Linked DNA regions of Neurospora crassa OR74A. The protein of the gene in region 2 binds, or shares a complex with, the protein of the main gene of each other region. Links are inferred from orthologs where the notes say so. Each region holds a gene or a part of one and is shown on either strand. Other genes may lie near its edges. The genes, in order: NCU04068 and NCU07560.

Region 1 (15,618 bases), on a different chromosome or scaffold from region 2:
GAGTTGGGGGATGGGATGAACTGGTCGGATTTTGGGAACATGGAACTTCGTCCGTCAAGGTCCTCGAGATATTCCCATTTCTCAACATCGTTGTTTCGCGCTTCGTGATCCTACGCCGACGTGAACTTTCCAGGTCGCAGTCGCAGTCGCAGTCGCGTCGCCTATTCCTCCCAGTCGACGTCATTTCAAGATGCCCCTCCATCATTTGATGATTGGTACCTGGACCCCGCCAGGTGCCATCTTCACTGTCCAGTTCGACGACGAGAAGCTCACATGCAAGCTCATCAAGAGAACAGAAATTCCTCAGGATGAGCCGATATCATGGATGACCTTTGACGTATGAGAATCCATCATCAAATGTCCACGAGTACTGCGACTTTGCCTGCTCACAATGGAGATGGGAATAGCATGAGAGGAAGAACATTTACGGCGCTGCCATGAAGAAATGGAGCAGCTTTGCCGTCAAGAGCCCGACTGAGATTGTCCACGAGGCATCGCACCCCATCGGTGGTCACCGTACGTTACCAAAACTCCTATATCACGACCCAATGTTCTCGGACTAAATGACGTGTTTGTGTTTGTATACAGCCAGGGCCAACGACGCCGACACCAACACGCGTGCCATCTTCCTCCTCGCAGCCAAGCAGCCCCCCTACGCCGTCTATGCGAACCCCTTCTACAAGTTCGCCGGCTACGGCAACGTCTTCTCGGTCTCCGAGACCGGCAAGCTCGAGAAGAACGTCCAGAACTACGAATATCAAGAAAACACTGGCATCCACGGCATGGTGTTCGACCCGACCGAGACCTACCTCTACTCAGCCGACCTGACCGCAAACAAGCTCTGGACGCACCGCAAGCTGGCCTCGGGCGAAGTCGAACTAGTCGGCTCCGTCGACGCTCCCGATCCGGGCGACCACCCGCGCTGGGTCGCCATGCACCCCACGGGCAACTATTTGTATGCCCTGATGGAGGCCGGCAACCGCATCTGCGAGTACGTCATCGACCCGGCCACGCACATGCCCGTGTACACGCATCACAGCTTCCCGCTGATCCCACCGGGCATTCCCGATCGGGACCCCGAGACCGGCAAGGGCCTCTACCGCGCCGACGTGTGCGCGCTGACCTTTAGCGGCAAGTACATGTTTGCTAGTTCGCGGGCGAACAAGTTCGAGCTGCAGGGGTACATTGCGGGCTTCAAGCTCAGGGACTGCGGAAGCATCGAGAAGCAGCTGTTCCTTAGCCCGACGCCGACGAGCGGTGGGCATAGCAATGCGGTTAGCCCGTGCCCGTGGAGTGATGAGTGGATGGCGATTACGGACGATCAGGAGGGCTGGTTGGAGATTTATCGGTGGAAGGACGAGTTCTTGCACAGGGTTGCGAGGGTCAGGATTCCGGAGCCAGGGTTTGGGATGAATGCCATTTGGTACGATTAGATGGAATGCTGTTCTGTCGTTTTGATGAAGGAATGATGATGGGTGTACCCCCCGAAGGATGCGCAAGAGGTAAGTAGCGAAAGATGCGTTACATCAATGTGAGCCAGTAACAACATGCTTCTATCTATGATCATGACAATGAAGTAGAAAAGGATTGAACCTGTAGACCGCGAACGATGCAAGCTTGCAATTGGGAAGCAAGTCGTCCATTATTTCACTGCCAATTTTTCAGTCTTTGCTGTAGTGGTGAACCAACACAAAGCCGGGGCGTGGTTGACGAAGTTTGTCCCAAGAGCTATACCAGCCCACTGTGTCTGGTCTCCCGACGTATATAAATACATAGATCTGAAGTTTCTCTCATCACAAGGGATTGTAGTATAGTGGTCAGTACTTCTCGTTGTGGTTCTTTGTACACAACGATCCGAGAGGACCCAGGTTCGATTCCTGGCAATCCCACTCTTTTTGCGCATCATTGCATGAATGGTCCTGCCTGCTATCCTTTTTTTCTTTTTTCTTTAGGTGGTCTTTTCAGACCTTCTTGGTTTTTGTAAATATCTGCTGCTACTGGGAAACACCAAACCTTCAGGTAGGTTAGGGACAAGGTTGTGGTGGTTGAGTTGGTTTGTTCGTTAGTTTAGTGAAGGTTCCTGTGTCGAGCAGGCAAGTTTGGGAGCTCTTATTAGACTTCCAAGAGACAGAGAAAGTGTCCTCTGTTCGATGTGATATTGCAGAATGGTGATGTTTTGTGCCGTTATAGAAGCCTCGGTAACGTATCCTCTTATCCCTCTCTCCGTCTTCTTTAAGGCCTTCAAGGCTGGGAGGGATTAGTTTTACAGCGTTACTCAGGTCTGGATTGTCACTGTGAAAATGCATCGTGAGTGTTTGTAAACGGAAAGGGTAGGTGGTTTAGTTCCCGAAGGCTATGGTCGGTTCAGTTGTCACGCATCTCTAAAACCTATCTTTTTTTCAAATGTGTTTGTTGTATTACACCGGCGGACTGAAGGAAGGTTCGAAATTTGGAAGATGTGTTTCCGTCATTTGCCATGGCTAATATGCTACGCAGCACGTTCAATCGACAATGAGCTTTCTTTCAATAAAATGGAACAATGTGCGTTAACGTATCCCAGAGAACCACGTTGCATGATGACGGATTTGGGTTCCAGCAAAGATGAAGTATATATCGTCATCACTACTTTCCTCTCGATCAACCTTACTTCCAAAAAGCAGATGTCCCTCCATCCTCCCCTGATATCGAAACTACACAGCACACAACCCTCACTTGACCGATCCTTACTATGTAGCCGCCTGCCTATACGGCTCGTACTTAGCCGGCCCATGGGGATCATTCTCCGCCAGATCCGTCGACACAAAGTAATGGTCATGCTGCGAAATGCGACGCGCGCGCTCATCCTGCCTCGGCTTCCACCAGAGAAGATAGGCTAACGCTCCCGCAGCGGCCAAGACAGCGACCGGAATACCAACGCCTAGCCCAATCTTGAGACCGTTACTACTACTACTAGAGCCGCTGGAGTCACTGCCAACGTCTCCATTGGAACTTGCAATGGGTGGAGCAGCTGGCGTTGTCGTCGGCGCCAATGAAGAGGTCTCGCTGGAGGTTAGGGAGGTTGATGATGGGTCATCGGTTATCTGAATGGTAGTTCCTGATCCTGTGGCGGATGCTTTTACGGTGCTAACCCTCGTGGACGCGATGCTGAGTGATGGAGTTCCCGTGAATGTCGTGTCAGACACTTGTATAATGGTTTGCACCAGGCCGGCACTGATGGTGAATGCACTGCTATCTTCATCGTTTGATGAACAGTCACATTTTCCTTCGTTGAAGTCTGACGCACAGCAGAATCGGCCGTTTCCACAGGCAGCTAATTCGCCTTTGCGGTTCCCGTTATCTATTAAATGAAAGCAAGGTAGATGTCAGTCAGTTGTTGACAATGGCACTGACCGTCAGACAGCTTTGATTGGACTTACCAAGGCAAGCACTCCCGCAGATGTAGTTATTCCATTGAGGATTTGTACAAGCTCCTCGCTGCACCGCGCCCAGAGTCAAGTTGGGAAACGAGTTGCTTTCTGTCGTCGTAATGCAAAGCGCATTGCTGAAACATGTCCACCCTGCCGGACAACAAGAAGAAACTGGAGCGTTGAAGGCCTGGCAAGCAAAGTAGCCTGGTGCGAACTCGCCACCAGGAAAGTAACACGGCGCATTTGGGTCGGCTCGTACTTGTCGCGCTTCTGTCGCTAGGTACACAAGTATCGCGAAGAGGGAAGATGTAGTAGGAATCATTTTTGCGGGTTCGCGCATCGCTCTCTCTGGTCATCAGCAACCAGAACTTGTAGGAAACAACAACAACAAAAAAAAATGGACAATGAGGAGATTGACAGAGTTATCAGGAAAATACAAACTTGATAGAAGTAAAAACACACCCGTGGGCGCCACGACGGCCCGTCCATACTTATCAAGTGACCAGCAACACCATGAGGCTGGCAATTAGGTTATACCAGGGCCTGTTCAGCTCGACCTCCGCATCGATGTGACCCGTGATGGTGTCTCCAGAAGCGCTTTGAGTTGCTGAATGGGAGTTGATCCAAGCAAGCCACTTGGCTTGGCACGCTGCGGCATGGATGCTGCAGCTTTTCGGAGCTCAGTTGGTTCGTTGAATGTAAAGGGTTGGACTTTCGGTCCGGTTCCCTTTTCGTTGATAACAGGGTGCAGAATTTACTGTTGCTGCGCAGTTCGCTTCGAGGTCATCGGGACCGTCTGAGTGTCGTCGGCGGAAGTGAAGATAGAAATCCCACAAAATGTGATGAATATTGGAGTCGAAAGAGAAGCTCTCTCCGAGTTCGGGGCTAGCTACCTAGCTTATCCGTGGGTGCTCATGTTTAACATGGAAAGGACCCTGAACCGAGCCGTGTCATCATTGCTGTTTTGACGGGCATTCTCTCAAGAGTGGAGTGCCAAATCGAAAAAGAAACATCAAGAAATAGGTAAAGCATTTCATCAAAGTAAACAAAGATTTTGAGACTCTCATGTCTGCATTTGTGGAGATAGCGAGCGGTTGGTGGCATTGCGGGGAACCAATTGAAGTGGGAAAAAAGACAAAAAGGGCAGTCATACGTCAACAGCTTCGCCGCTACAGAATCAGTGCGGGGAACATTTGACAGCCAGAATCCCAAGTTCAACCACTCAACAACTTGGACTGAATACGTATTCCGGTTACGGATTGAAAATTCCCCGAGGTTTATCGATCCTCTCGCGGCTGTATGACTGTGGATAAGATCAAACAGCAGAAAAAGGCATCGTCCCATACTTTCTACTCCAAAATTCTCTTCGTTTTCTCCCTCATCGTCCTCATCCTGGCTATCTTCAGTTCCCGCATCTCCTTTCCCCGGCTTTCCCTCATTGCGAGCCATTTGACTGGCAGTGCCAACACAATCACAGCAACCAGCCGCTCAACCATTACAACTACATCTACACAGAAGATGGCCTCTTCCCAGTACGCAAAGGAGCTCGAGGTAGCTCAGCTCGCCGTCCAGCGGGCCGCCCGCCTCACCAAGCGCGTCTTCCACGAGAAGGCCAAGGGCACCGTTTCCAAGGACGACAAGTCCCCTGTGACCATTGGCGACTTTGGCGCTCAGGCGCTCATCATCAGCGCCCTCAAGGCCAACTTTCCTTCGGACGAGATTGTGGCTGAGGAGGAGGCCGCTCAGCTGCGCGAGGACACCCCCCTGCGGGACCAGATCTGGGAGCTCGTCAAGTCCACCAAGCTTGACGATGAGGCTGCCGAGCAACTCCTTGGCGGCGCCATCAAGGATGCCGACGCGATGCTGGAGATCATCGACCAGGGCAACAGCAAGGGCGGCGCCAAGGGCAGGATATGGACTATCGACCCCATCGACGGCACCAAGGGCTTCCTGCGCGGTGGACAGTATGCCGTGTGCTTGGGACTGATGGTGGACGGTGACGTCAAGGTCGGTGTTCTCGGTTGCCCGAACCTGCCTGTGGACGACGCTGCGCCGTTGGCTGCGGATATCGGCACCAATGCGACCGATGAGGGCCGGGGTGTCATCTTCTCGGCCGTTCAGGGCCAAGGCGCGACTAGCAGACCCCTGGGCACCGCCGGTCTTGCGGAGGGCAAGTCCATTGCGATGAAGCCTATTACAGAGATGTCCAACGCCAGCTTCTGCGAGAGCGTGGAGGCGGGTCACTCGGATCAGGGCGTGGCTGGACAGATTGCGCAGAAGCTCGGGATCACCAAGCCTAGTGTGCGCATGGATTCCCAGGCCAAGTACGGCTCTATTGCTCGCGGCGCGGGTGATATCTACCTCCGTCTGCCTACTTCCAAGTCTTACCAGGAGAAGATCTGGGATCACGCTGCTGGAGATCTGATTGTGCGTGAGGCTGGTGGTCAGGTTACCGACGTGAGTGGAAACCGCCTGGATTTCAGCGTCGGCCGCACGTTGGCTGAAAACAAGGGTGTCATTGCGGCGCCTGCTGCGGTCCACGACCAGGTCATCAAGGTCGTTCAGGAAGTTCTCGGGCAGCAGTAAAGCCTCGGTGTCATAGTGTACAGGTTATGGCAGGTATCGGGCCGTTATGAGGCCATGTGTGTGCCAAAAAAAATAATAGACTAAATGTACAATATTCCCCCCTTATCCTCATCAACAACCATATCAGCCACCAAAACCCACCGCGCGTCCTCTATTTGATCTTCTTCTGCTTCAACTTGATGGTCTCGCCGTTGACAAAGATACCCTTACCCTTGTAGGGTTCCGGTACACGCCACCTCCTGATATCAGCGGCGAAGGTCATGACCTGCTCTCTGTTGATGCCCTCAAGCAGGATTCTTGTCGGCTGCGGCGTGCTGGCCTTCATGCCCTTGGGAACGCCCATCTCGACGGGGTGGGAGAAACCGAGCTTGAGGCAGACGAACTGCTGGCCGGGGTATTCCTCCTTCTCGGGGCGGGTGTCGATTGTAGCTCTGTAACCGATACCGACCAAACGCAACACGGCCGTGTGACCTTCTGATACACCCATAATGAAGCGGTTGAGGTACGCCCATGTTGTTCCTGTTTTGTCCAAGAAAGATTCGAAATCGTCAGCTGACTGGCCGCCCGTAACTTTCCACATTCTCCAAGACAAGGAAGGTGTTTGCCATACCCCACATCTCTCTCTGCTCCTTCTCGTCCCGGTTCGCTACGCTGAGGGTCGCTCTCCTTGCCTCGGCGTCGTGGTCGATCTTGATGAAGTCGGGAATGTCCATCTCGAGTTGTCCTGTGAAAAAGCACACGCACACGTGCAACAAGTCAGCCAGCTGCTCTGCTCCCATCCTAGTCCCCTTTGCACTCTCGCGCAAACACCCATAAACAACGTTCTCTCTCGGGCCTCTCCCAGCCCATCTGTTGCGCCCGCTCCAGTTTCGTTGCGTATCCTCAAATAAAACACCCATCTGGTCCTTTTGCCAAGTCGATTTTACAATAGAACAAACTAACCCAACGGGCCCTGCACCGTAATCTTGCGCTTAGGCTGCTGCTTCCACTGCGTCATGTCGCGCTTGACGAAGGGCTCGCCAATGGTGATCTCGACGCCAGGAGGGATACTGAGCGGGGTGCGGCCGAGCTTGGACGGGCGGGTTGTCGTCGCGGAAAAGTTGCGCCGGGCGGCGGCACCGGCAGTCTGTTGGAAGGCGGGCACCAGGAAGCCGGGGAGTGTGACGACGGGAGAAGATGAGGAAGAGGCAACGGCCTCAAGGACCCTCCTTCGGCTTGGGGCGAACATCGTGGTGAGTGTCGTCGTCGTCGGCAGGGTGGTGGCCGTCGTCACGATGCGGAACCGGAATTGGCGAAGAGACGCGGCGCTCCAGTTCGGAGGTTCTGGCAGTCGCAAGGGCAGCACCGAGTCAATGGCAAGCCGGCCGGGTGGTGGGATGAACCGAGTGGATCTTCGGAGAGCTCCAAAAAATGTATCGGACCTGACGCGGCACAGCAATGCAGCTAGTGATTGGCTGTAAATACAACAGGGTTAGGGTCGTATCCGCATAGTCTCGCTGCTGCTATTCGCTTGGGCTAAGAAACAACGACGAACACCAACAGATGTTATTCCATCCGACATCATTCATCTCGAGTAAGAAATCTTCAAAAAGAAAATGGCACAGGGCGTGGAAGTGTAGAGTTTACTCGATGGAACATATTGTTTCACAATATTCAGATTGAATGTTGAATTAATCTCCCGTTCGACAATCGTCCAGCTTTCCGATGACGACTTTACGGATGCCAACCTCACGATAGTCATCACCACCCAGAACACCCGTCACGGTCGAAGTCTTCCAAACTGTCTCAAGCGAGCTGTTTGCACTTTCTCGATACCGGATGAAAAGATGCAGATTCCAGTGATGTCAAGACAAGTGGTCTACAGCCCAAATCTTTGTCTAGGCTCGCTTCTGTTGGAGAGGACAGCGTCACATCAGACGATTAAGAACCAGCAAAAGTCGAGCTCGGCAGACAATCACAGTCATATTCGATGCGAACTTCAAGTGAAGTCATTTCACACGAAACCTTTTCGCGGTTTCACAATCCTGTGATTCTTGTCCCGCTAAATTCAAGTCCGCTTCTCTTATCCTGGGCAGTCGCGATCGCCAACTTACCCTCATACACCTTCCTTCCTTCCCTCTCTTGAATCGCTCCTTCTCTTCAAAAACACCACAGAATTTTCAGTTGCATGGCCACAAACTTCGATCGCCAAAATTGCACTACCAATATTGCCAGAATCTCCATTTCTTACTGCCGAAGTCCCTTCGACGGCACTCTTCTGGACGCATCTGACTTTATCAGTATATCATCATCAGCCTGTCGCATTGCACTTACATGACAACTATGGCCAGGAAGCTTCTCTTCACGGCTCTCTGTGCCGTTACAGCTACACCTTCTCTGGCCTTTTCGTGGGGAGGTGAAAGAAAAGTGGCAGTTCGTAAGTAATATCAGAGCACTGCCTGCAGGGCTTGACTAATAATATGACCGCAACACAGCCGACCATCAAGTCAACATCGACCGCAACATCCAGCCTTCGGATCTGCTTCGAGCGTCCTCACGCCTACCAAATATCTACGCCGTCGCCCTAAGTGAACTTCAAGAACTCGAATCAGAACCGTTTTGCCATCGTGTGGCCGCCCGACTCCTAGTCAACAACTGCCAGCTGGTAGACGGAAAGAACGACGCCACAATCCTCACAGACACTGGTCGGCAAGTTCGCGACTTTGTTGATTCCTACGCTGCCAGTCTAGCGATATGTGATTTGGAGCGAGGCAGGTTCAATATCCCGGCGCAATGTGCCAAGTTCCGTGAACCGGCCCTGAGTCAGATTGCGATCCGGGACCAAGCACAACTCCACGTCAGCAGTCATGAAATCGATCACTGCCTGTCAGCCATGAAGTCGTCAGATGCTGCGTGGAATACGTGGATTAGTTATCGGCACAAGGCCTTGCGGTTCTGTGAGGCGGCCAGAGCGGATAATGAGAAAGGTATGGTATCTAGGTTGAGACGCACCGTTTCAGAGTCGTAGCTGACAGTGATTTACAGCACAAAACATTCTCCTCTATCAACGACTCACGAATGTGATGAAGAACCTTACAGAAGGCGTGGAAGCTCAGCTTCAGAAGCAAATGAATCGACTTGACCTGCGGACACAACAGTCCATGAAAAATCTCGACAACCTCACACCACAGATCGATAAACTGAGAGATGGGCTTGCCATGGTTCATGAATACTTGGCGACCGATGTTGAAGCAACACTCCGAAGGTCCTTTGCCTCCCTACACGACAGCCAACAACAAGCCGAAGACCTGCAGAAACTGCTCAACCTACTGCTTACTGGTGTTCTTGAGGGTCACTCACGAGTGGCCCATGCGCACGAACATGCCCTTCAACAAGTCTCCGTCCGAGCCAACGATGGCATTGGAGCCCTAGTTGCGGTGGTTGCCACAGCCGCAGCATCAACCACCGCCCTACAACAACAAATTGTAGGCCATCTTCCTGACAGTGACCGTCACTTACATCGTGTGACTAACCCTGGATAGGAACTCTCCAACCAACAAGCCGCCGCATTAGCCCTCCGTCAAGACAACCTCGAGCAAGGAATGGACCGCCTCCTCGCCGTCACCGAGACCCTAGCCACCAAATACGAGGACCAAACGCAAAGACTCCAACAAGCCTCCAACATCACCAACGATATCCTCGACATACTGGAGAACACCGCGGAAGCGGCATCGTCTGTGAACGAGTCCTTGTTGACCGGTGCTTCCTCGCGCAGCTGGTGGCCCTACATCGTTTGCCCTACCGCTTCTCTCGTCATGGGATCCTATGGCCTACCGCCCTCTGCTGTTCGCAACCTCGCACTCTTGGCGCTTGGCGAGGTGGCTGGGTTCATGATTTCGTCGTTTGAGCAGATTGCTGGTGCTTTGCAGTCTTTTGAGGCCCCTCTCTACTCGTCGGTTTGGGAAACGTCTGCAAACACGACTGCGTTGCCCTATGAAATATGATGCTAGTCTGGGGGTAATCTGAGGTGCATATATCCTTTAATCAAGAAGCGTGGAACCATATGCTTGGGATCTGTTCACACACGCTACATTTGGTGGTATCAATCTCTGGTCGTTGGGGGATGAGACAGGTCACGGTAACTCGGGTCAATCTAGGAGAGAAATGGGGGAAATAAGAGTCTGAAGATAGTCCTTCATCCATATGGGCAAGCGGCACATCTTAGGTTGCGTATAGTCGCTAGGAAAATCATTCGTATTTATTTCCCAGCAATTCGAGCAATGCACCGGCACTCAGCCTAGCATTTCAAGCAAGTAGACGCAAAAATTTAGGTGGCTGTTGTAGAGGCTATCGTCGTCTCCTTTCTCACAAGTCTGATTTAGTGCACCTAGGCAACAAATAATCAAGCAACGCCCCTATTCGTAACTGATGATCATCGCAGACATACTCTGCCTCCTCCAAACCTCAAACACCATAACCTACTCACAACACAGCAAACAACAGACTCCCAATAACCGCGGCCATAGCCGACATTCCCACCCCCAACCACTCCGCACAACTCCCACTCCTCTTGGCACGCATTGGGGCAGCGGCACTATCACTATCCCCATTAACATTTCCACTGCCACTCCCCCCATCAGCACCTTCCTCATCTTTAACCTCCCCAACCTGCTTCAAAACCCACACATCCCCCTTATCGTCATCTGTCATCCAGATCCTTTCTTGTCCATCAACTGCCAGCCCCACCGGCCTAAAACACTGCCCCGGACACTTGCTCACATCCCGATTCCACATGACGTCCACAAGACTGTTCGTGCTATCGCTGGCCTCTAACGGTTCCCCTTTACTTGTATCGAACCGCACAGCGGATAATTTGTACCCGGCGGGAGTAGAGCGGTCCCAGCTTCCGTGGAAAGAAATGTACGCTAGACCTAGACCTAGACTTTGATTGTCGTTGCCATTGCCATTGCTGAACTTGATGTCGAGAGGGGCGGTGTGCGCGGGGAAGGTGAGGCGGGGAGGGATGAAGTTGGTGGAGGAGCAGGAGGTGTCGGAGGTGGTGATGTTGATTGGTTTTGCTTGTGGGGAGGAGGAGGTGGAGGAGGAGTCGGAAGATGGCAAAAAGGGGATAGAATAGGGCGTTGAGTCGTGGGTGAATTGGGAGCCGGTTTTCAGGTCTCCTAACGAGGGGAAGGAAGGGGAGGCAGAGGAGTTGTAGAGGGCGAGACAGTAGGGGTAGCCGTGGTTTCCTCCTTGCTGTTGTCCTTGGTTGACAGAAGAGGATTGATTAGCGGGAGTCGAAGAGGGGAAGCGGAGAACACCATGGTAGTTCATCTCTTCTCCGGGACTGTCTTCGTGGATGTCCACGCCAAAGCGCTTAATACCATCCGCGCTGTTCTCGACACTGTAGATGCCGCCTGTGTTGGGCTCCTCGGCGACTCCGACCGAGTTACGCAAACCCCAGCCGATGGTCCAGCCTTCGCTGGGATAGTCGTATACTTTGCCGCCGCCGCCGGGTGTTCCTAGGTTGGGGTCGGAGATGTTGAAGGCTCGGATCTGTGAGATGCCGGAGGAATGGTCGGTGGCGCCGTTATCGATGTTGCTCCCGCTGCCGCGCGAGACGAGCAGGATTCCGGGCTGTTTGCGTGAGATTAGGAGCGTGCGGGTGGAGTGGCCGCCGCCCGCGTTAGTCATGTTGCTGATGAGCGTCTTGGGAGATTTCTCGTCGCTGACGCGGATGGCGTCTGCGTCATATGCCCAGCTGTAGACTGAGTTGGAAGAAGAGGCATAGAGGGTTTTTCCGTCGATGGAGAGTTGAATGCCGTGATTAAGCTGTTGTGGTTTTAGTCTTTATTTCATGTTGTTTTATAAAAAGGTGACGGCCGGTCAGGACGGAGAGCTCATCTTACATCACTCATCGACACAATTGTCGTGGTCTTCTCCACAGACAAACATGGCCATCCATCGTCCTTTATAGTCATGTGTGTGATCCCTTTACCAGCCTCAACGACCAGTAGCCTTCCATTCGAATCGACGATGACGCCTCTCGGCTTCTTGAGTCCGGTAGCCACGAGCCGGGCTTCGAAACCATTACGGACTACCGGTGCAGGATATGACGCAGGCACGGGCGCCGGGCATGTCGACGCTGCTGCTTGGACCGAAGTACCGGAGAGCCAGAAGAACAGAAAGGGCAACAACAGTGCCGTGGATTTCCAAGTGCACCAAAACATCTTGGATATCTATGTGTGGGTAGCTAAACTCCCATATAGCCCTGAAGCTACTGAATGACTGGCTGATATAGGTTTCCAATCTGGAAAGCTGTTGGTAGGAATTGGCTCAAGTTGGGAGGGTATCTGCGCAAAAAACACATGTGTAAGTCAGCCTCTCATCTAGGATTTATCTTCATGCCTGGCTGCAAGTGACGTGTTGTTGGTAGATTGCACAATAGGGTGATGGGAAGCCAATATACACCAAATTCGGCCGGTCTAGCTGCTTTTAGACAACAGGAGCGACGGAAGTTCTCCTATTTGGCAGATTCACAGTGTTCCCAACTGACCCGATGATGGAAATATGAAGAAGTTCTCTGTTGCTGTCGGACGGGGACAGAGTGGGCGAGTAACATCAAGTAAACCAACATGGACGAGCATAGACGACTGTGAACGGGCATGGCATTGCTGGTATGAAGAGAGGTAAATGTACCTTGAGGATTCTCTGGATCCTCCGTCGCAGAAAGTGATCGATTGGCAAGATACCCTTGTGGTTCCTCAACCAAATAGGTGTAGCGGTAAGGATGTTGTTGTACTTCGTTGTATTCAAAGATATGTCTGAAAGTTTGTAGAAGGTGATGTCATTTGCGTTCCAGACTCAGCTCGGGATGGAGGTGTTCTGCGTCGACTGACATTGGATGTTCCTGCCTTGACCCAGTAATAGGAGCGGGAGCAAAGGGTCGTCGGTCATCCGGAATAGGAAAGAAATATCTTGGCCTGCGCTTCAGATAGAACCTCAGCCACGCCATGCTACGGTTGAATTTCTGACGAATTGCCAGTTACAACAACCGATGAAGATGAGGGGAAGCATCATGTGCACAAACCATGTGTGAGGCATACCATGTCTCGAATTTCGGACACAAAATCCTCACTTGTGACCCCTTTAATCATAATGAAACAACATTTACAGACCAGGCATGAAGGTGTCCGTTTGCTGACTTTTCTGATTCTTCATCTCATTCTTCCTCCTCGCGGCCTTGACGCCTCTGAGCTCATCGGTCAGCGTCTCGATCAACCGCTCCAGGATCCACTCGGCCTCCTCTTGAGAGCTCATCAACGGACTCCTGCTGCCGACCCAACTCCACTTCGCCCGTTCTTTCCCCTCCAGTTCATCCTTACTGCTACGAAAATGAGCGTGAGGCTTTCGGTGCTTAGCTGCGTCGCTCTCGTCCTCTCCGATGAGCCGCAGGTACCATGCCCACTCCTGAAAAGTGTACTTCCGCGGAGGGTGGCTCTTGAGGTGTTGCATTACTAGCCCGATCTCTTCGATCAGCGTGAGGTGGTACTCGGCCGGATCCATGGGGCTTTGGGGCAAGTCCTGGCGTGGTATTGAGACGGCACGCGTCATTTCAGGAAGCTGAGGAGTTGAGTTCGAGTTCTGGTCGCACGGGTTCTCGTCATCCGTGTTTCCCATCTTCTTCGACCGGCCGTTCGATCCTTTCGTCCCTGACGTAGTAGAGGAGTCATCGAAGCGAACTGCTCGATCAGGACAATCGCCGCTGTCCTCTTCAGCTGCGTTACCTTCCACTCGCCTCTTATGACTCTCTTCGTTTCTTGCATTCTTCGCCTGTTTCTGCTTTATCAGACCCGTGTTTGCGCTTTCGGCATCAACGTCTGCTCGATCTTGAGCTTGCTCACCCTCGTCATCGTTCTCCTCGCTGCTGTACCTATGGCGCTGTGAAGCTCCATGTATTCCTGGGGGCGACTCCTCAATATCCTCGGTAAACAGCTTTCCATGGGAAAGGGCATTAAAGGTTGCCTTGAACTCGCTCTTGAAGCCCCGCTCGCTAGGAAGAATGGTAACGGTAGCCACTTTGTCCGTGGCATCTTTGATACCCTTCACGATGGTATCTCCTGCATTAGAGATCAGGACTGTCATAGTCGGAAGAGCGAGGAGTGCCCAAAAGACCCAAAAGGACTTTCCGGCGTTGGATACCGGTGTGATATCTCCGTATCCGATGGTTGTTAGACTAACATATGCCATGTAAAAAGTATCAAAGTAGGTCAATTGTTGATACTGACGTTCACACTCTTGAAAGACTTTGGCGCCCACGAGCCATAAGACCAACCAGGTGCTTGTAGAGATAGCCAAAGCTATCCAGCGATGCCTATGAGTCGCCTGCTTTTGAATCTTTCTCATCAGCTCAAATTCGGATTGTCGCCGTTGGAACTCGGTCAGACCAGAGCTGGAAGACAGTTCAGGGGAATCGGAATTTGCATCCCTTATGGGTGTAAGTATACCATCCTTTCCCTTCTTGGCCATTTTGCTTAACACGCGATGTCTGAGCTTTTCCACCATACGTGCATCAAGTCTTTTCTTGCCGCGCTCTAGCATCAAAGTGCGGATGGATCCAATAACGAGACCCAAGCTGATAATGCCGACCAGGGAGTACGGGAAGAGGAGAGCCCTTCCGAGAGTTGAGGTAGGGTAGTAATCGCCAAATCCCACGGTAAAGAGCGTCACGGCCGCCCAGTACACGCCATCGAGGTAGTTCCATCCTTCGGTGTTGGAAAAGATAAGGGCACCGATGAGGAGGTAGATGAGGAATGAGATGGTCTGTAGCATCAGTGTCCTCTGACTGGGTGTGAGCATGAAATCCTTTGCGTAGTGCCCCTGCTGAGATCCCCAGACGGTAGCTACCATGAGCGAAGCGACAACGAAGTACAGGACTGCGGCGTAGATGCCGTAAAAGTAAGCTTCAGACCAGATGAAGTCGTTGTTTTCCGGTCTCAGCGGTCCGGCTGTCGTACTTGCGAGGGCTATCAAGCATATGGATGAAAGGTACCATCCGACAATGGTGACGGGTTGAGCGACGGAGAACCGGAGTCTCCTGGTCATGTTAAGGAGTAGCGCCAGGTTGGAGCTTAGCGCGATGGCAAGTTGGACTGCATTGATAGCGATCAGCCAGGCTGGGTCTTTGATGAAGGTGGCGGTCTTGATGTCAGCCCCTTTGGTGTAATTCTGTCTCCATGGCCGGACTAGAGCACAGATACTGAAGGCGCTTGCAACGGGCCCAAGTGTGCCTGCGACCATGGGAAAAGCAGCCGAGGCAAACCACCATCGACTTGACAAAGTCCAGACCGTCAGTATATACTCGTATACAAACTGAGTACCCAAGGACGACTCTGATGTGACTTACCTGGGATCTCGATGGGCCTGGTCCTCTCCCATAAGCTTGGGAAGTGAGGCCTTGTACTGCGCATCGACCTCTTGAAGATGTTCCTCCACATTCTCACCACCAGCGTCCTGCATGTTGTCAGATAGGTAGTATTAATGCGATTATAAGAGAGATACAGTAAAAAAAAAAAGAAAGACAAAATGATGATAGTTGTAAAATGAAGTGTCATGGGGTACCGGGATGGGTTCCCCTATGGACGCT
Region 2 (15,783 bases):
AACCCGCAGAAGGATCTGCAGGCCATGGACCGCGCCCATCGTATCGGTCAGAAGAAGGTGGTCAACGTTTACCGCTTGATCACCCGCGGAACACTTGAGGAGAAGATTCTCAGTCTTCAACGTTTCAAGATCGACGTCGCCAGTACGGTAGTGAACCAGCAGAATGCAGGACTTGCGACCATGGATACGGATCAGATTCTTGATCTGTTCAACCTTGGTGATGCCGGACCAAACCTCATAACGGAGGGCAAGAACAAGGACAACCTCGAGGGCAGGGAGGAGGACATGGTGGATATCGAGACGGGCGATGTCAGGCAACCTGGCAAGAAAGCGGCTTGGCTCGAAGGCCTCGGGGAGCTGTGGGATAATTCACAGTACGAGGAAAGCTTCGATCTCGACGGCTTCCTGAAGACTATGCAGTGAGGGCCTGAAAGGCTTCCCCTGAACAGCCATCTGCTGTTCAAGGAACTGAGTCTGTCGGTATACCTGCTCAAGTCGTTGATGAGCAGTGGGTATGAACAAGTCATGTACGACTATCCCCATACGCAGCTTCGCAGCTCGCGCATGCCGAGTGCCGAGCCGTGGTGGATGGTGGAAGAACGAAGACAGGACTTGACGCCTGATCACAGCGTTGCTGACAGGCCATTGCCTGGATAAACCCCCTGAGAGTGGGAACGGAAAGGAGACTATATCTTCCGGTTTCAATCAGTGATGGTCAACTTGACGACAATCGATCGAGGTGGCAACAAGGACGCTCAAGTCTATCACATCATAAAATGACGAGGGAACGAGAAGAAAGGGATGACTACCATTGGCTGGATGAACATGAAGATACCCATAGGTATCTGCTCATATGATGATAAGCGAGGCGGAGGAGGAACTTCGAGGAGTGCCCATTTGCGCTCGACCTGTAGGATATATAGCATTACAGCATTGTATCTTGCTTTTTCTTGCTTGTTTTAATTTCCTTCCTTTCTTTTCATGCGTGTCAAAAGCTAGACAGCAGGCGAGGTCATTGCTAAATTGGGGATTGGTCGGCTGGCTGATGAGGAGTTACGGTGTTGTTGGCTGGTTCTGGTGCAAATAGGGAGAAATAAAATAAGGATAAACGGATCAAGATGGATGGATGGATGGTGGGTGAGGCGGATGGCCGGATACAGTGCATGAATGAGCTTGTGGATTTGCTGGAAAAGGAATGGATAGGTAGATCGGAATACCATGAATTTGCTATGCTACCGTTGAGATGCGTGCTTGGAGTGACTCGTGTCGTGTCATGCCTGTGAAGCTTCGTCTTTGACGTTGACGTGTGGGTGAGTAGAGTTAAGGTGAGAGATCGTGTTCAGGCAGTATCAACAAACTAGACATAAGCGTGTGAAGTCTCCTTACTACATGTTTATGACGGGATTAATACTCTTCTTGTTGGTCGTCTTGTATCCATTCCACTGCCCTTTCACTGCCTTGCAAAGCCTTTGGGATTCGCCGTTGTTGTCTTGCCACGGATATAATGTGCAACTTGTTGCGTTCACTGAACGTTGAAACCCTTCGCCGACTTCGAGACATCTGTAAGCTTCGGACCGAAGACCTGTAACTGTAAATTTCAAACCCTCACCTGGTTTGCAAAGAAGGGCCAAGAAAGTGAACTTCGCCAACTGGATCTCCATCGGGTTACAAGTAAACCCTCTACCTATCTATACATTTGGTCACCACAGTCGTTACCTCTACCGAAAACCCAGAAAGTATCGTACGAACGCGCTCATACCTCCTCAACGCTTATAGAATCAACATACAATTCTCCACTATGAAACTTCTGCCAGTGGGTAGTCATAAGCTTGTTATCTCAAAGATTAAGCCATGCATATCTAAGTCCCAACCGCTATCTGCTTACTCCTCCTCACTCAAGTCACCCTCCTCAATTCCTCCCCACTCATCGTCCTCCCCCTCCTGCATCGCCAGCTTCCCATTGCCTTGCCCACGAACAACAGGATCAACATCAATGGCTTTACATTTTCCTTTCTCCTCTCTTGTTGGCCTTCGACGCTTCTTTCCCTTCGCTTTGGCCTTGGCTGCTGCTAATTCTTCCCGGGCATTTCTGTAGTATGTGTGTTGGTTGGCGAGCTCATCATCATCATCATCACCATCATCCGTTCTAGGGGCGGCGGTGCGAAGGGAAGTAGTTGCAGTTGCAGTTGAAGCGTTCACCTTTACCGTTCCAGCCCCCCTTGCCTTTGGCCTTGGCCTTGCCGCCTCCGATATCGATGTCGATGCCGGTACCGGTCCAACTCCTCCAGCATTTCCATTACCTGTACCTGTACTTCGACCTGCAACCTCCGACGACCGTGACGGCATCTGTCTAACCTCCAACCCGCCCAAATCCTTCGGCCCCTTCAGCTTCAACTCCTGAACCCACACCTGCACTTTTCTAAACCGCCACTTGAACAAGTGCGCATCAGGCTCCCATTCTATGTTGAATGGTGTTTTCTCTATCACATTTCCATAGTAATCGTCCGCGTCATTTTCATTGTTTCCCTGCTGCTCATTGATGTCTTTCCCGTTATCAACAACATCATCATCATCATCCTGGCCATTTGCGTTAGTCCATTCCTTGAACCTCGCCTCCGCCTCGGGAACCACCTCGTCCCGCCAGTGCGAAACATCGTTCATCCTCGCGGGTGGCTTCGGCTTGGTTAGGGCTTTGAAGATTTCTAATGCCTCAAGGTTGGCGAGGCGGAGGGTTGTGAAAGTGCCGTGGAGAGTGGTGGCGGGGTGGAGGAGGGTGGAGGAGGGCAGGGGAGGAGGGGGTGGGGGGATGTTGTTGGGAAGACTTCTTCTTCTTCTTCTGGTGTGGGAGATGTCTTCTGAGTCGGATTCTGAAGAGGAGGAGTAGATGGTTGAGGGGGGAGGTGGGGAGTATAATGAGCAGGGTAAGGGGGGTGTGGGCGGGCGTGGTGGATTGATGGGTTGCGATTGCGATGGTGGTTGAGGTTGGGCTTGTTGTGTGGGATCGGAGGGAGCCTGTGGCTCCGGCTGTGGTTGGGTAACTGATTCGGGTTGGGACTTTAGCTCTGGCTGAGCATCTGAGTCGCCCTCAAGTCTTTGGTGCGTCTGAAGTGTAGGCTGCGTCTGTTCGTCTGATGGTGTTTGGATGCTTTGGCTTTGGCCTTGGCCGTCGCTCGTGATTTCCTGCTGCGTCTCGAGTTTGAGTTCGGTTTGCGTTTGCGTTTGGTGACTTTCGGTCTGGGAATTGTTCATGTTCGTCTGGGATCCTGAAGTGACCAAGTCCTCGCTGGTCGTCGATGTGACCCCTTCATTCAACTGCCCATCAACGTCCCCACAGCCGAACAAATCTTCCTCCTCTTCACCATCATCTTCGTCACCCCCCTCAACCCCTTCATCCACTACCTCAACCCCTTCATCTACCTCAACCCTTCCATTTCCACTTCCCATCCCCACTCCCGGACTCTTCGTCTCTTCTTCCTCACTCGGATAATATCTCACAGCCCAAACAGCCCACATCCTCTTTGCATAAATCCCCATGCCCTCCTCGTCCACCCACAACTCTCTCTTCTCCAGTACGTCCCCCAGCATCGCCGCCTCCTCGTGCACATAGTAGAACTGAACGTCCCCATCCTCGTAAAAAATCGTTCCTTTGAACAGGTGGTCGCCTACATATCCTTGTTCCACAGCTTGAAAGGGGATGTCCTCCTTGAGTAGGTTCAGCACCCGTCGTCGGCAGGTTTCGTTGGCCTCCTTTTTGGAGGTGTACACGACCTTCGATCGGTAGTGGCGAACAGAGTCGGACTCGGAGATGGGGTGTTTTTTCGTTTGTTTGATCACGTATTGTAGGATGACATCGGTGGGGGAGAGGAGGGATTGCGCGGGCACGGCTTTCTTGGGTGGAGGGGGTGGAGGGATGGCAGCATCGGGGGCTGGTTCTGGAACTGGAGGAGGAGCAGCTGGGAGGTGATGAGGGGGCGGGGTTGGTGGGCGAGCGTGAATGCTGGTTGTCGGTGCCGGTGGGTTCTTGCTCGATGATGGAATGGTAGACTTCTTGCGTCTTGAGGCTGGCGAAGGCCGAACTGGTCTCCCATCTGTTAGTGATTGTTGGAAATCATTAGTGGCGCGCTGAGCTGTGAACTTATAACCGGTTCGCTCTTCGTTGAAACTGCTGGGGAGATGGTTGACTATCCTTGCATGCTTCGTTTGAGGGCCCTTGTCCTTGAAGAAATTGAATTGATCTACGTCCGCTTGCGTAAGACGTGATATCGAAGGCTTCTCCTTTGAGCGAGACGACTGTGTTGCTTGAGCTGTTTGATGGGTTGCTGTTTGGCTTGATGCCGGATTTTTGCCACCTTGCGTTCTTCGTGCATCTTTGGTTGGCTGGCTCCTCGAAGGAACAGTGGTGTTTGTTGGATTGCTTGTAGTCTTGCCACCGAATATGCTTTCAATGGGGGCTTTGGTGAATTCTCGTAGCACTTGCTCTTCTGTTCGTTTGGGTGCTTGAGTCTCCTTTGCCCTCTCTTTGATCTGCTGGACTTTCTCCGTCGCCTTAACGCCTGCTGTGGTTGGCGTGTTCCTGATACTTTTAGCAATCTCCTTTGACTTCGCGTGATCCAGGCTCGTGCAAGGGCTCATTCGAGAAAGCACGTTTTTACTCAGGGGTCTCAGGGGCGCTCTGATCCGGTAATGAGATGAGCCGGGTTCTCTTTTAAAGCGCTGACGCTGGTCCTTTGAAAAAAGGTGGTCATAATATCCGGGGTACCGGTGCTGTCCGATGCTCAATCTCCGTCTCTTCGCACTGTCGACACTCCCACTACGGCCCAAGACCTCAAGATCTTCGACGACTAGAGGCCTCTTTGAAGGCCCAGCCTCGGCGTCGTGTTTGGTCGACGATGTAGAAAAATTTGCCTGGAGTGACTTCGTGGCATCGTCGCTGTCTTCTGTCCCCTTTGATTCTTTCGCAAGAGCTGCGCGCACATACTCAAACCTTCCCCCAAACGGTTCTTTTTCCTCTACTTTATCCTCAACTGTTCCCTCTTTTGGGGTTTCTTGAACAGGATTTTGCCGCAGGTGGTCCTGGATGGCCGTGTTGAAACGGTTATCATCTGAACTACTTTCATCGTCCGGCTCGGTTCTCTTCGGAGATGATGACGACGTATCAATGGCTGTTTCTTGGAAAGTTGTTAGCTGTCTCGGTCGACATAATGCTGTATGGGGCTGAGTACACACCGTGGCTATGACCGGGTGTTGAGCTGTTTGAACTGCTTGCTGCTGGTTCTGGATCCAGAGCCTGGGTGGATGTCGGCAACGACGTAAACCAAGATTTGGCTGGCCCAAATATCGAGTTCATCGTGGTTGTGTTGTGGAACTCCGAGCACCGCCTGGTCTGTATCCTTTGTATGGATACTTGAATCGCTCCGATACGGCCGTTGCAAGCTCTAACTGATTGACATATAACGGCGCAGTGAGTGTATGGAGGCCATTGATCGAGCAAGTTGTTGAAAGGTGGCAGATATGAGATGGCGTTGAACTCTTGTCAAGGTTAATAATGTGTAGTTGGAACAGCGGCTGCGGACACTTTCGACTCCATAGACACTAGAATACGGACGCAAGACGATGTCTGGGAAGGAAACTGTAAGAGCAGCAATTATCCATCGAGATACAGGTAGATTTCTTGGCGCGGAGTGCGAGTGTCTTTTAATGATCTCCAGAGTAAAAGCAGAGGATGACCTAAGATGCAGAGCGAAGAAGGGAGTGAGGGAAGAGTATCATGAAGCAGAGAAGGAGGGCGAGGAAGAAAGAGGAAGATTCCATTTATGGTACCGCTTGAACGTAACTCCACGTTCTGAAAGAGTGATGTTTAGAGGGATAGAGCACGGCAATGTTAACCAAGGGCTGGGAGGAGTTTGTTGTCGTCGCCATCGCCATCATTGTCTGTGGTGTATTTAGTCGTGGATCCCAGCAAGAAGGTAAACATACAAATATCCACAAATCGTGACATGGCGTTCACCGTAAAGTCAAGTCCAGATGAAATGAAGCCACCAACATTCTACTCATTTCCTCATCCTAATGGCTTGTGTTCAAGGCTCATGACCACAACATCGAGATCATGAGCCCGCGATCCCAAATACGGTAAGATCATGATGTTGAGAGTGGCTGTAGCACCTTATAGTGGTGACTTGATGAGTTGAATGAATTGAAGCTATTCCCGTTTTTGACGACGCATATAATGAGGGGGGGTAACATTGGATGACGGATGATGTTCCTCAAAACAAAGCCCGACAGGGGAAGCTTGCAGCTGGTGCCCGCTGGAGGAGCATTCCCCATTGTGCTGGGGAGGCGGGCTGGGGCTAGACCGGGAGCATCTGAGGTACCGCCCGTTCTCCGCATTTTAAGCCTTTGTCGCATTGGCCAGGTGGGGGCCAGTCTTGCCTGAAAAGAGCAGCAAAAGATTTCAAATTTGTCTTGTGAGTGGTCGCTGAGGTGTCTCGGGCGCGGCAGTCCACTGCCCTGTAGCATAATGGCCGGCCCCGGAGCCGCGACCACACACCACTGTTTGGGGTTTCAAGCGGACGACCATCTCACCGGCCACAAGACGTCACTGACGGCATCTCTCTTTCTCGGCCGGCTCCAAATCTTGCCTTTGGGCCCATCCTTGACCCGACACGGACCCAGAAAACCACCACCACCACCACCACCACCACCAAAACTACTCCGCAGACGCCTCCATCACCGTCCGCCACAACGGCCGACGATTCGTGTTTCTGATCTTTTTCTGTTCTTTTCTGGCCCAACCAGCGAGCATCGCATTTTTTCCCGCTTGAGTGTGGTGTGTTGATATACAGAATAAATACCCATTGTTTTTGGCTTCTCCAGAGATCCACGTTGGCGCTTGAGGTGGCCTTGTCGATATCTCCAGTTTGCTTGTTCCCTTCGTGCGACCAGTCCTCCATCGGTGATTCAGCAAAAACACACGAGACGCATAAAACCCAGGTCTACCACAAAACAGCACCCACCACAACAACCAACTAGTCGATTGCGACGACATTCACAATGGAGAACACTACGCCGTCAGAGAATACACCGCTCCTCCCCACTACGACACCATCATCGCCCGACGTCAGCCGTCCCACGAGACCGCAACGAACTGTCACCTTCAACCCCAATCCCGTTACCAAGACCATCGAGCCCGAGGCAGCCTACCGTCAGGCCCGCGCCTCGCATCCAAGCCTACCGCATCCGCCAATGTCCCCTTCAAGTTCCTCCGCCATTAGCACTGGTGGTCTCGGCGGCGGCCCCCCCATGTTATCGGCCTTGAATGGCAAGATGCGACGACGGAACAGCGGCGGTACTATCGGAACCAACCACAATTCCGGCCTGCCCTATACGTCTGCTGGCAACACTCACCTGCCCAAGATCGGCCCCCAACGTAGCACCAAGAACGCCCAGAAGCTCAAGCTGTTACCCAACCCAGAGCTGGAGGAAGATGGCGTCGACGAGGAGTCCGGTCGCGACGTATACTCGCAGTACACCCGTATCAAGGATCCCACGGCCCGTCGTGATGCTGCGCGCCTCGGCAAGGCGGATCGCGACAGGCTGCCCAGAGTGACGGCGTACTGCACAGCTAGTAGGTACCAGATGGACGGCCTTATGCGGTTCCTCAAGAGCAGATCCAAGAGTCGGGGCGCAAACCCAAAGTTGATCGACGAGTGCATCTACACTCCTTATAGCTACAATCCCAAGCAGGCGGCTGAGAACAACCGGGCCGAGGCAGAAGCCCAGGAGCAACAACAGCTGGGGCTTTTTGACCCGATACATTCTCGCAGACATTCCACCGGCGAGGTGACGCAAGGTGACAGCAGTGGTTATCAAAGTACAGAGGACCTGATCAGTCTCAATCTCAATGGAGGCAGCACCTCCAGGGAAGGTGTTCAGGACATGGTGGCCCAAGGGGTCATCAGCGACGAGAACGCTGTGTCGGATGACCCGCTGGCTGATTTCGACATTCAAGTCCACACTCCGGAAGTCTTCCTCTTTGAGTACGGTGTGGTGGTAATATGGGGCATGTCGGTTGCCCAAGAACAGCGGTTCCTAAAGGAGATTGCAAAGTTCGAGTTGGAAAAGTTGGGGCCGGACGATACGGAGACGGAGTACTTCAACTTTTACTATACACACGAGTACCAGGCCCGGATCTACAACGACTTCATTACCTTGCGAGACAAGAACAACTACATGACGAAACTGGCCATTTCCCACGCTCTCGCCCAGAGTGTGAAGGTTGGTTTCTCACCTTACTATACTTTGTGCCTGACGTAAGACTGCTGGCTAACCCTATCACATAGACGTCTCTTTTTGAAGAACTCATTGCCTCAACCATCGAGACATGCAAGGACATCCCCACGCAGATTGCATTGACGGGCAAGATCGACCTCAGCCGGCAACAGATCAATATGCAAATTGGAGAGCTCTTCATATTGCGTGTCAACATTCACCTAAACGGCTCCGTCCTCGATACACCGGAGCTGTTCTGGGTCGAGCCACAACTCGAACCATTGTACAAGGCCGTGCGCAGTTACCTCGAGATGGACCAGCGTGTCAAGTTGCTGACAGAGCGTATGGATGTCATTGCCGATCTGTTGGCTGTTCTCAAGGACCAGCTAACTCACGGTCACGGAGAGAAACTAGAGTGGATCGGTAAGCGGCCATGCACACATACACCCTCAACAACATCCTGGGATCATGCTAACTACTTTATAGTGATTGTCCTTATTGCTGCCGAGATTCTCGTGGCGGCCGTAAACATTGTTGTCGATTTGTATGCGGGCGTTGACTAGAAGAAGACAGCAACTCGGGATACAGTGCCAACAGAGGGGTGGTCCCTGCGTAACTCACTTCTTTTCCTTTTAATTATTTTCTGCATGGAATTGGGCATCTTTCTGAGCACTGGAGGAGTTCTGGGCCTAAAGGCGATGAGCTGTGACGTTGTTTTTGTCTGGTTGGATTCTTTGGTGGATAGCATTTAGAAGGGATGGCGCTTCGTAGGGCCAGTGATGAACAAGAAAGGCAGAGAGAGAGAGCCTTGATATGCCAGAGAAAATAGGTCAAAGAGCGCCAACGATATTCTCGTTCTGGCTTGACGACCCGTGATAGACGATATACCAGTAAGACTTCATTTCATTATCTTAACCAGACGTGATACTCTGCCCGTTTTTCTATCTTTCCCCGGTACTTCGATTGGCCGGGTGACATTCCCTACTCTTCCTTCATCTGATGTTCCGGCAGATACATCATGATACATCATGAAACATACTATGGGACGGTCAAGGCACCAAACAGGCAGGACTGGGCAGGTGTCCGTCGGTGACGTTCCCGTCGCAAACGAAGAAGGAACTGCAGCACACGGAAGTGACAGGCACAGCTTCCAGTTCGCGAGGAAGGTACGACGAAGGCAAGCCGATAGCGGAAGTCGCGTCTACCGCGATGCCTGGGCAGTGAGGACACTTGGGATTTTCCTCACGGGGGTTTCATTACCTTTTCACCCCACCTCGGCGTTCGAACATTGTTTTCCTACCATCATCCTTCCTCCAGGGTCGTTAGGCATTCAACTTCGCAAGATCTGCTCGCATCAGGCTCAAAACTTATGTTGATGGACATCTAGATCGCGGCTTCGATCCTGATCTCTGTCAAAATGGAGGTCGACAACGTCAACTTCTGGGGCCATCTACCCACTATCCTTGACGCGATTGCCGATGCCGAGTTCATTTCGCTTTCTGTAATCGGTTATCCCGATGCTGTCGTCAAAGCTAACCTGACCAAGGAGGAGCTCTACCGCGAATTGGTAAATCACTCCAAGATTTACCACATCACCAAGATTGGCCTTACTTGCCTCCAATACGACGAGAAGCAAAAGGGTACGTACGATGGCAATCTCTTAGCCTGGGTGTTCACCGAGGTAACTGACATTCCGAGTCTCAGCATACTCTGCGCGCAGCTTCAACTTTGCCATCACCCCTTGGTTCCTTTCTGCAAATATCCAGGCGGAACTCATCGCAAAGACCGTCAATCGAACGTTTTCCTTTTCATACGACACCCTTCAACAGTTGGCGACAAACGGCTGGGGTTTTAACGAAGCTTGGGAACGGGGTGTTCCTTACTTGGCCCGCTGGGAGGCGCAAACAGTCGAGGAGCGTTTCCTCCAGCCTTGGGAGACCAAGAAGCCATTGGACATCAACAAACTAGATGCCGAGTCCCAGAAATTTCGGGCATGGGCCAATGAGCAGATCACATCTTGGCTGAAAGAAGAGGTACGATGACTCCTTCTGATTTTGTCTGTCGACTTGCTGGTCATCAAGCTCATGCCCGCTTTCCTTTACAGGACAAAACTCTTGACTTAGCAACCCCCTCAGGCGAACGGCTTACTAGCCTTCAAGTTGGACTCATCTGCCAACTTGTCTACTCCTGCTTTGATGACTGTCGCGCAACTCTTAGAGATGACAATCGAATCATGCAGATCACGAAGCTCAGTCGCACAGAGCTCACCATTGAGGTCAGGGAAACAGCCACAATTCAATAGTTTAGGACTGTTTTACTGATCGATGCTCACAGAGATTGACGAACCGCCGCATTGCACTGGCGCGACAGTCAGGTAAGCGACTCCAATAGCACTTCATGACACCCAGGCCTTTCTGGTTCCACTAACGTTTGTTCTTGCAGGATTTCTCTACGTGGTGGAGGCCCTCCTCGGGGGACAATTTGCCAACGACATCGAGCCCGAACTATGCTTGGCATACGTATCGGTGGTGGATCGTGACTTGCGAAATCAACTTATTTCGGCTTTCCGCGACAGACTTAGAGCAGCTGAGGATAGAAACAGGCTCAGACGACCTATCCTGCTCATACACTCTCAGCTCGACATGCTGTGTCACTTTTACTCGACATTTTTGGGCCCCCTTCCAGAGACATTCGACGGATTCACAAAAGAAATACACAACATTTTCCCTCGGATCGTGGATAACAGGATTCTGTATCCCCTCAACAACTATCCATCTCCCTCGTTCCACGGGCACAAGCCTTCAATTGAGTTCATCTCTGCCGCAGAGGAAGAGGGAGGACCCGGGGTCACACCAGTACGAGGATTCGAATACCAGAACAAGATGGCTGAAGAACACGGTCTTTACGGCTGGTATTCCAACCTCGCATTCCTCAAGGTTGCAGCTAAGAAGCTGCAGAAGGAGCAGTGGCTGAGCAAGACTCGGCCCGAGAAGACGTGCGGGAGCATGAGAATGAAGACGGTAAAACCAAGCAAGCTTTTCTTCACGCTCAATCCCTTTGCGCCCAACAGCATTATCAGTCGTCGGTCAAGTATTTGTTCTTCTGTCGCTTCTGGTATGACTGGAAGCATGGTTGACACCCCGCCCAGTGTTTTCGGTGACGGCAGTGATGAGGAGGAGGAGGAGGAGGAAGAGAAGCAGGAGGCACCTGAGGTTCATCGTCTCCCCCCGTGGGAGGCAGTTTTCTGGGAAAAGTTTGGAAACAAATTGGTCCTTGACCACGGTGAAGTTTTGGCGCTCACCACTTCGATTCCGCTCAGAAAGTCCCGGATTCGGAATCTCTAGGATGATCATCGGGACCTCCTGTATGAGCTCCTTTTTGTGTGGGCTTTGGGCACGATTTGTGTGTTATTCAGATTGCTTTTCAGATGGGTGGAGATTTGAGACTTGACTTGTGTGTGGTGTGGTAATGCCAACAAGTAATTTGTTAATGATGTACGAGGAATGGAGGAGTACACCACTGGTACGCGCGCGAGAAGTGTCCCAGCTAGAGGTGTAAGCCAACGGCCTTATATGGATGATCAAGGAGGATGTCCTGATGGAGGCGTAGGAGACGTGTGAAGATATCCTACAGGCCGCCGTGGTGTGGACTTTCAACCAGCTCAAAAGTACCGTTGCTTTGGTCTGCGGCTGGCACAAGCTTTGACTGTGTGTCTCAAGCCGGGAGAACCGGTGTTCATCATTGATCAAGGCTGGATCTTGAAGAGGTCACTGCCATACCTATCCACGTCTCTAATGCAGAATCGGGTCACAGATATGTGATTAGCTCAGTCTGTCTTGTTTGTGTATGTTAGTATCAGACTTCACCTCAGATAGCGGTATGACCAACCCAGCGGATGTCTGGTAGTATTCACCAACCATCTCGCATCCTGTATGACATCTTCATCCCAAATCTCTATACACAGCATATGTTTTTACATTACAAACAACACCCTCTCTCGTCCCTGTGCTTCATGTCAGCCTTCGCCCGCTTCTTGCAGACATGGCATGCGAGCTTGGCTTCGGCCTGGTCAAGTACGCTGAGGCGTGCGAGGCCTTTGAACTGTCAAGTCAAGTTCCAAACCATCTCTGATTCTCTTCCTCGAGACCTTTGATTGTGTTCGGCTAGGGGGCGGTCCAGGTCTACTCAGCGCATAAACAACAATTGTACCTTGCCACCGACCGACTAAAACCATCTTTTGATATCAATACATTTGTACACATGCTTCTCTCTTCTTCTTCTTCCGCCACCCACTGCACTTCCCCATTCTATTTCCCCGGAAGATAATGGTGTAGTCTCACCGACTTCGACCATCGACTCATCATCACCTCTCCAACCTTGTTCTTCCATACTTCACTTCACCAGACCAGGCTACATAGGGTGTTGTTGTGTTGTGTTGTTCACCTCTCAGCAAACATGCCCTTGACGCTGTGGAAGTACTCCTCCGCCAACGTGCTGCGCAGCTCCTCCTGCGTGAGCCACTTGAAGTCGACCAGATCATGCAGGTTGTCGGTCAGGTCGGCCTGGCCGGCCATGATGCGGCCCTTGAGGAAGAAGATCTTCTCGCCCTTCTTGAGCAGGGCGCCGTCCTTCTGGCCGAAGACGGGGCGGACGACGTGGTGGGCTACGGGCACGCGGCCGACGATCCACGTGTTCATGTTGACGCCTGCGGACTCGGCGAGGATGCGGGCTGCGGTCTGTTTATCGTCATCATCAAAGGTTAGTTGGCCGCGAGTTTTGGAAAATGGTTGGAAGTTGGGTTGGGGAAAAAGGGAATATAACGAACCTCATGCAACCCCTCATCCGTAGGCACCACGCCCGTAGGGAACATCCACTTGGCCTCCTCGCCTTCCTTGTCCGCCTTCTTTTTGACTACCAGATAAAGCGTCTTGTCCAGCGCGCGATCCAACCGCTTGACATCCCCTTTCTCATCCGCCTCCGTCCGTCTCGGCATCGGCTTCTCGACGGGGACCCGGTCCTCGGCGGGGATCTCCTCGCCATCCTCCGACACGCGCATCTCCGCGTCGGCAAGCAATTTCTCCACCATGTGCTTTCTCGACGACGTCTGCGACCCCACCAGCACCTCGTCGTTCCACGCCATCCGGCCGCGCGGGTTGTACCGACCAATGTCCTTGGCGGGCACGCCGTGGCGCTCCTTCAGCTTGATGCGCCAGTCCAGGTCGGCGGCCGTGTCCTTCTTGAAGTAAAAGTCCTTGCGGAAGGGGGCCGTCAGCCGCTCGTTGAGGCGCTTCTGGTAAAAGTAAAAGGATTCTTCAAAGGGGGTGAGGTCGCGCGTCAGCAGCGGGGGGCGGGTCAGGATCACGCCCGACTTGATGCGGTAGATTTGCGACGAGGTCGAGGTGGCGGCGTGGGTGCCTGTTGATGTGGTGACGGGCGGGTGAGGAGGGGGTAGTGTTGTTGTGGTCGTGGCAGTGGCAGTGGCAGTGGCAGTGGCAGAGGCCTCGGCGGAGTAGAAACGTCTAGGTGCGCTGGTGACGCCGGCGGGCGCAAGTACTCGGGTTTGGTTGCGGCATTGTAGGCAGATGGACCGTTGTTGGCCTGGAAGGAAGAGAAAGAACAGATTGCGACGGGTTAGTTATGGTGTCTTTAAGCTTAAAGTTTGCGATCGGAAGCCATGCATGGAAAACACCAATTCGTAACGAGTTGACGATACGAAAAGAAGATAAAGAAAAAGTGGTCCATACTCCTAAGGAGAGCAGCTCCCCTACTCGACGCCGACATGATGGGCAGTATATATGACTTGGTTGTTGAACGGGGCCCGGGTGTGTAGACAACGGGACACGGGACGGGGAGAGGGAGGGAGGACGGGTGAATCTTGCGCGCGCGCCAATCCTCAACGCAACTCTCTCTCTCTCTCTCGCAAGTCTCGGGGTGGATGCGGGACGGGGTCGGTCGGTCGGTCGCTGCGGCGGGCGGGCGGGCGGGCAGGCAGGCAGGGCAGAGCGGACGGACGGGCGACACACAGCGCGGGAAACCGGCCGTGAACTTTTTCGATGTCCGCAGCCCCACTCTTTCCCTGGGGCCCTCCCGCCTGCCGCGCTGCCGCCGCGCACCGATCAGTCAGGTCCCCTCCCTGCTCGTTTCGTTCCTGGTCGCGATTGAACAATTGAGTCTTGGCAACCGATTTACTTTCCTTCACCGCCTTCCCTTTTCGAAAGCTTCCCTTTTTCTTCTCCAAAACCAATCCCCCCCGCTACCTACCCCACCATAACTTTCACGTCCTCAGTTAGGTTCACGGCTCCTACGACCCCACATGACCACTCACCTGACCGAAGCGGGTCCAGCAAACTTTTGAACTGAACTGCTGCAATAAAACTGCCACCAATCCCCCCTCCCCTTCTCTTCTTCCTTCTTCTTCTTCTTTTTTTTCTTTCTTCAAGGCACCATTCCTTATCATCACGACGTTTCTCTTCCTCCAAAACTGTCCTGATCATTTAGTCCGTGCCGAGAGGAACCACCATGAGCAGACGAATTCGCTAGCGGTACCTGCCTATAAACGCTCTACCGGGTTGCTGTTAGATAGAATCTGCTTACATATTTTTCTCCTGCGAACTCTCGTGACGGTTTTGCATTGTATGTATGTAATAATACTGCAGACTGTCTTGTGTGTGTGTGTGTGTGTTTGCTCTTTCTGAGAAATGAGCTTGGCCCAGTCAGTCTGGTCAGTCAGTCTCCTTCTCCATGGCATGTACACTACGTGTGAGGAGACTTCGCTAGATGAAAGTCAAGATGGGGCTGGTTTCTTTGAAAGTGTTATTCTTGCCACTTCGTGAAATGCTTCCCCGTCTCGAATTTCTCAAGCCTCGTTTTTGTGGCACGCGTCTTGTCTGGCTGCTTGGTGTCCTGTCGATTCATTCCTTGACTTTGGATATGAACCTTCCTGAGATCATTCATGGATCGTTCTCCATCCCCGACACTTGCTTGTCGTCACTCCGGTCAATGTCGCGATCAAGCACGGCCACATCTACTGAAGTCTCAGCTACGCCGCAATGCACATACTGCCCAGCTCAGAATATTCATTTCCACCATCCATGTCGCTGATCACGATATACATATGCGTGCTTCATCTCATAGAATTATCAGACCTGCCTCCTTGCTAGCGTTCGGACAAGCTTTCCAAATCTTTACTAGGCTACGTATCAGAATGGATGGACAAGTTAGTGGAATATCAAAAAAAGATGAACAAGAATAGAATGAGCAGTCATCACGTTATCAACCGACTTGTTCAGCACACCTTGCGCAATGCCGGAAACAGTGGACTACACTACATAGTCCAAGTTCCTTAACGATGACCAAAATGCAACAAAAAAAAAAAAAAAAAAGTCATGTCTGTTCATTGAAAAGATCCTAATGTATAAAAACTACCGCACGCCAGTTGTCCGCCAGGATATTTACCCAGATTCACCCCAGCCGGCCCTGATACCATACACCATCTAACATATACATCACATGAGT

The links.
Region 1: NCU07560 (region 2) and NCU04068 share a complex: the UniProt entries of both Saccharomyces cerevisiae proteins name them as parts of the mitochondrial large ribosomal subunit. The link is inferred for Neurospora crassa OR74A from reciprocal best matches to the Saccharomyces cerevisiae genes MRPL17 and MRPL6.

What each region holds. Positions count from the first base shown.
Region 1 is NC_026506.1:2,627,684-2,643,301, reverse strand, and holds NCU04068 (mitochondrial 54S ribosomal protein YmL16), read right to left. Parts: upstream 7,407-15,618; 5' UTR 7,222-7,406; coding exon 6,936-7,221; intron 6,718-6,935; coding exon 6,604-6,717; intron 6,513-6,603; coding exon 6,145-6,512; 3' UTR 5,994-6,144; coding exon of another isoform or gene 4,707-5,993; 3' UTR 4,600-4,706; downstream 1-4,599. Other genes in the region: cmc (carboxy-cis,cis-muconate cyclase), read left to right, coding at 191-337, 408-516, 589-1,433; NCU04070 (hypothetical protein), read right to left, coding at 2,727-3,337, 3,417-3,747; NCU04069 (3'-phosphoadenosine 5'-phosphatase), read left to right, coding at 4,707-5,993; NCU04067 (hypothetical protein), read left to right, coding at 8,316-8,409, 8,468-8,959, 9,018-9,457, 9,515-9,976; NCU04066 (hypothetical protein), read right to left, coding at 10,455-11,804, 11,882-12,202; NCU04065 (potassium channel protein), read right to left, coding at 13,143-15,303, 15,379-15,491. UniProt on the Saccharomyces cerevisiae protein: Component of the mitochondrial ribosome (mitoribosome), a dedicated translation machinery responsible for the synthesis of mitochondrial genome-encoded proteins, including at least some of the essential transmembrane subunits of the mitochondrial respiratory chain.
Region 2 is NC_026503.1:4,356,639-4,372,421, reverse strand, and holds NCU07560 (50S ribosomal subunit L30), read right to left. Parts: upstream 14,397-15,783; 5' UTR 14,050-14,396; coding exon 14,013-14,049; intron 13,867-14,012; coding exon 13,094-13,866; intron 13,005-13,093; coding exon 12,708-13,004; 3' UTR 12,143-12,707; downstream 1-12,142. Other genes in the region: crf8-1 (TBP associated factor), read left to right, coding at 1-423; NCU07557 (hypothetical protein), read right to left, coding at 1,681-1,688, 1,788-1,807, 1,886-5,162, 5,227-5,347; NCU07558 (sporulation protein RMD1), read left to right, coding at 7,051-8,274, 8,340-8,691, 8,755-8,831; NCU07559 (hypothetical protein), read left to right, coding at 9,686-9,908, 9,967-10,301, 10,603-10,642, 10,711-11,612; NCU16690 (hypothetical protein), read left to right, coding at 15,046-15,369. UniProt on the Saccharomyces cerevisiae protein: Component of the mitochondrial ribosome (mitoribosome), a dedicated translation machinery responsible for the synthesis of mitochondrial genome-encoded proteins, including at least some of the essential transmembrane subunits of the mitochondrial respiratory chain.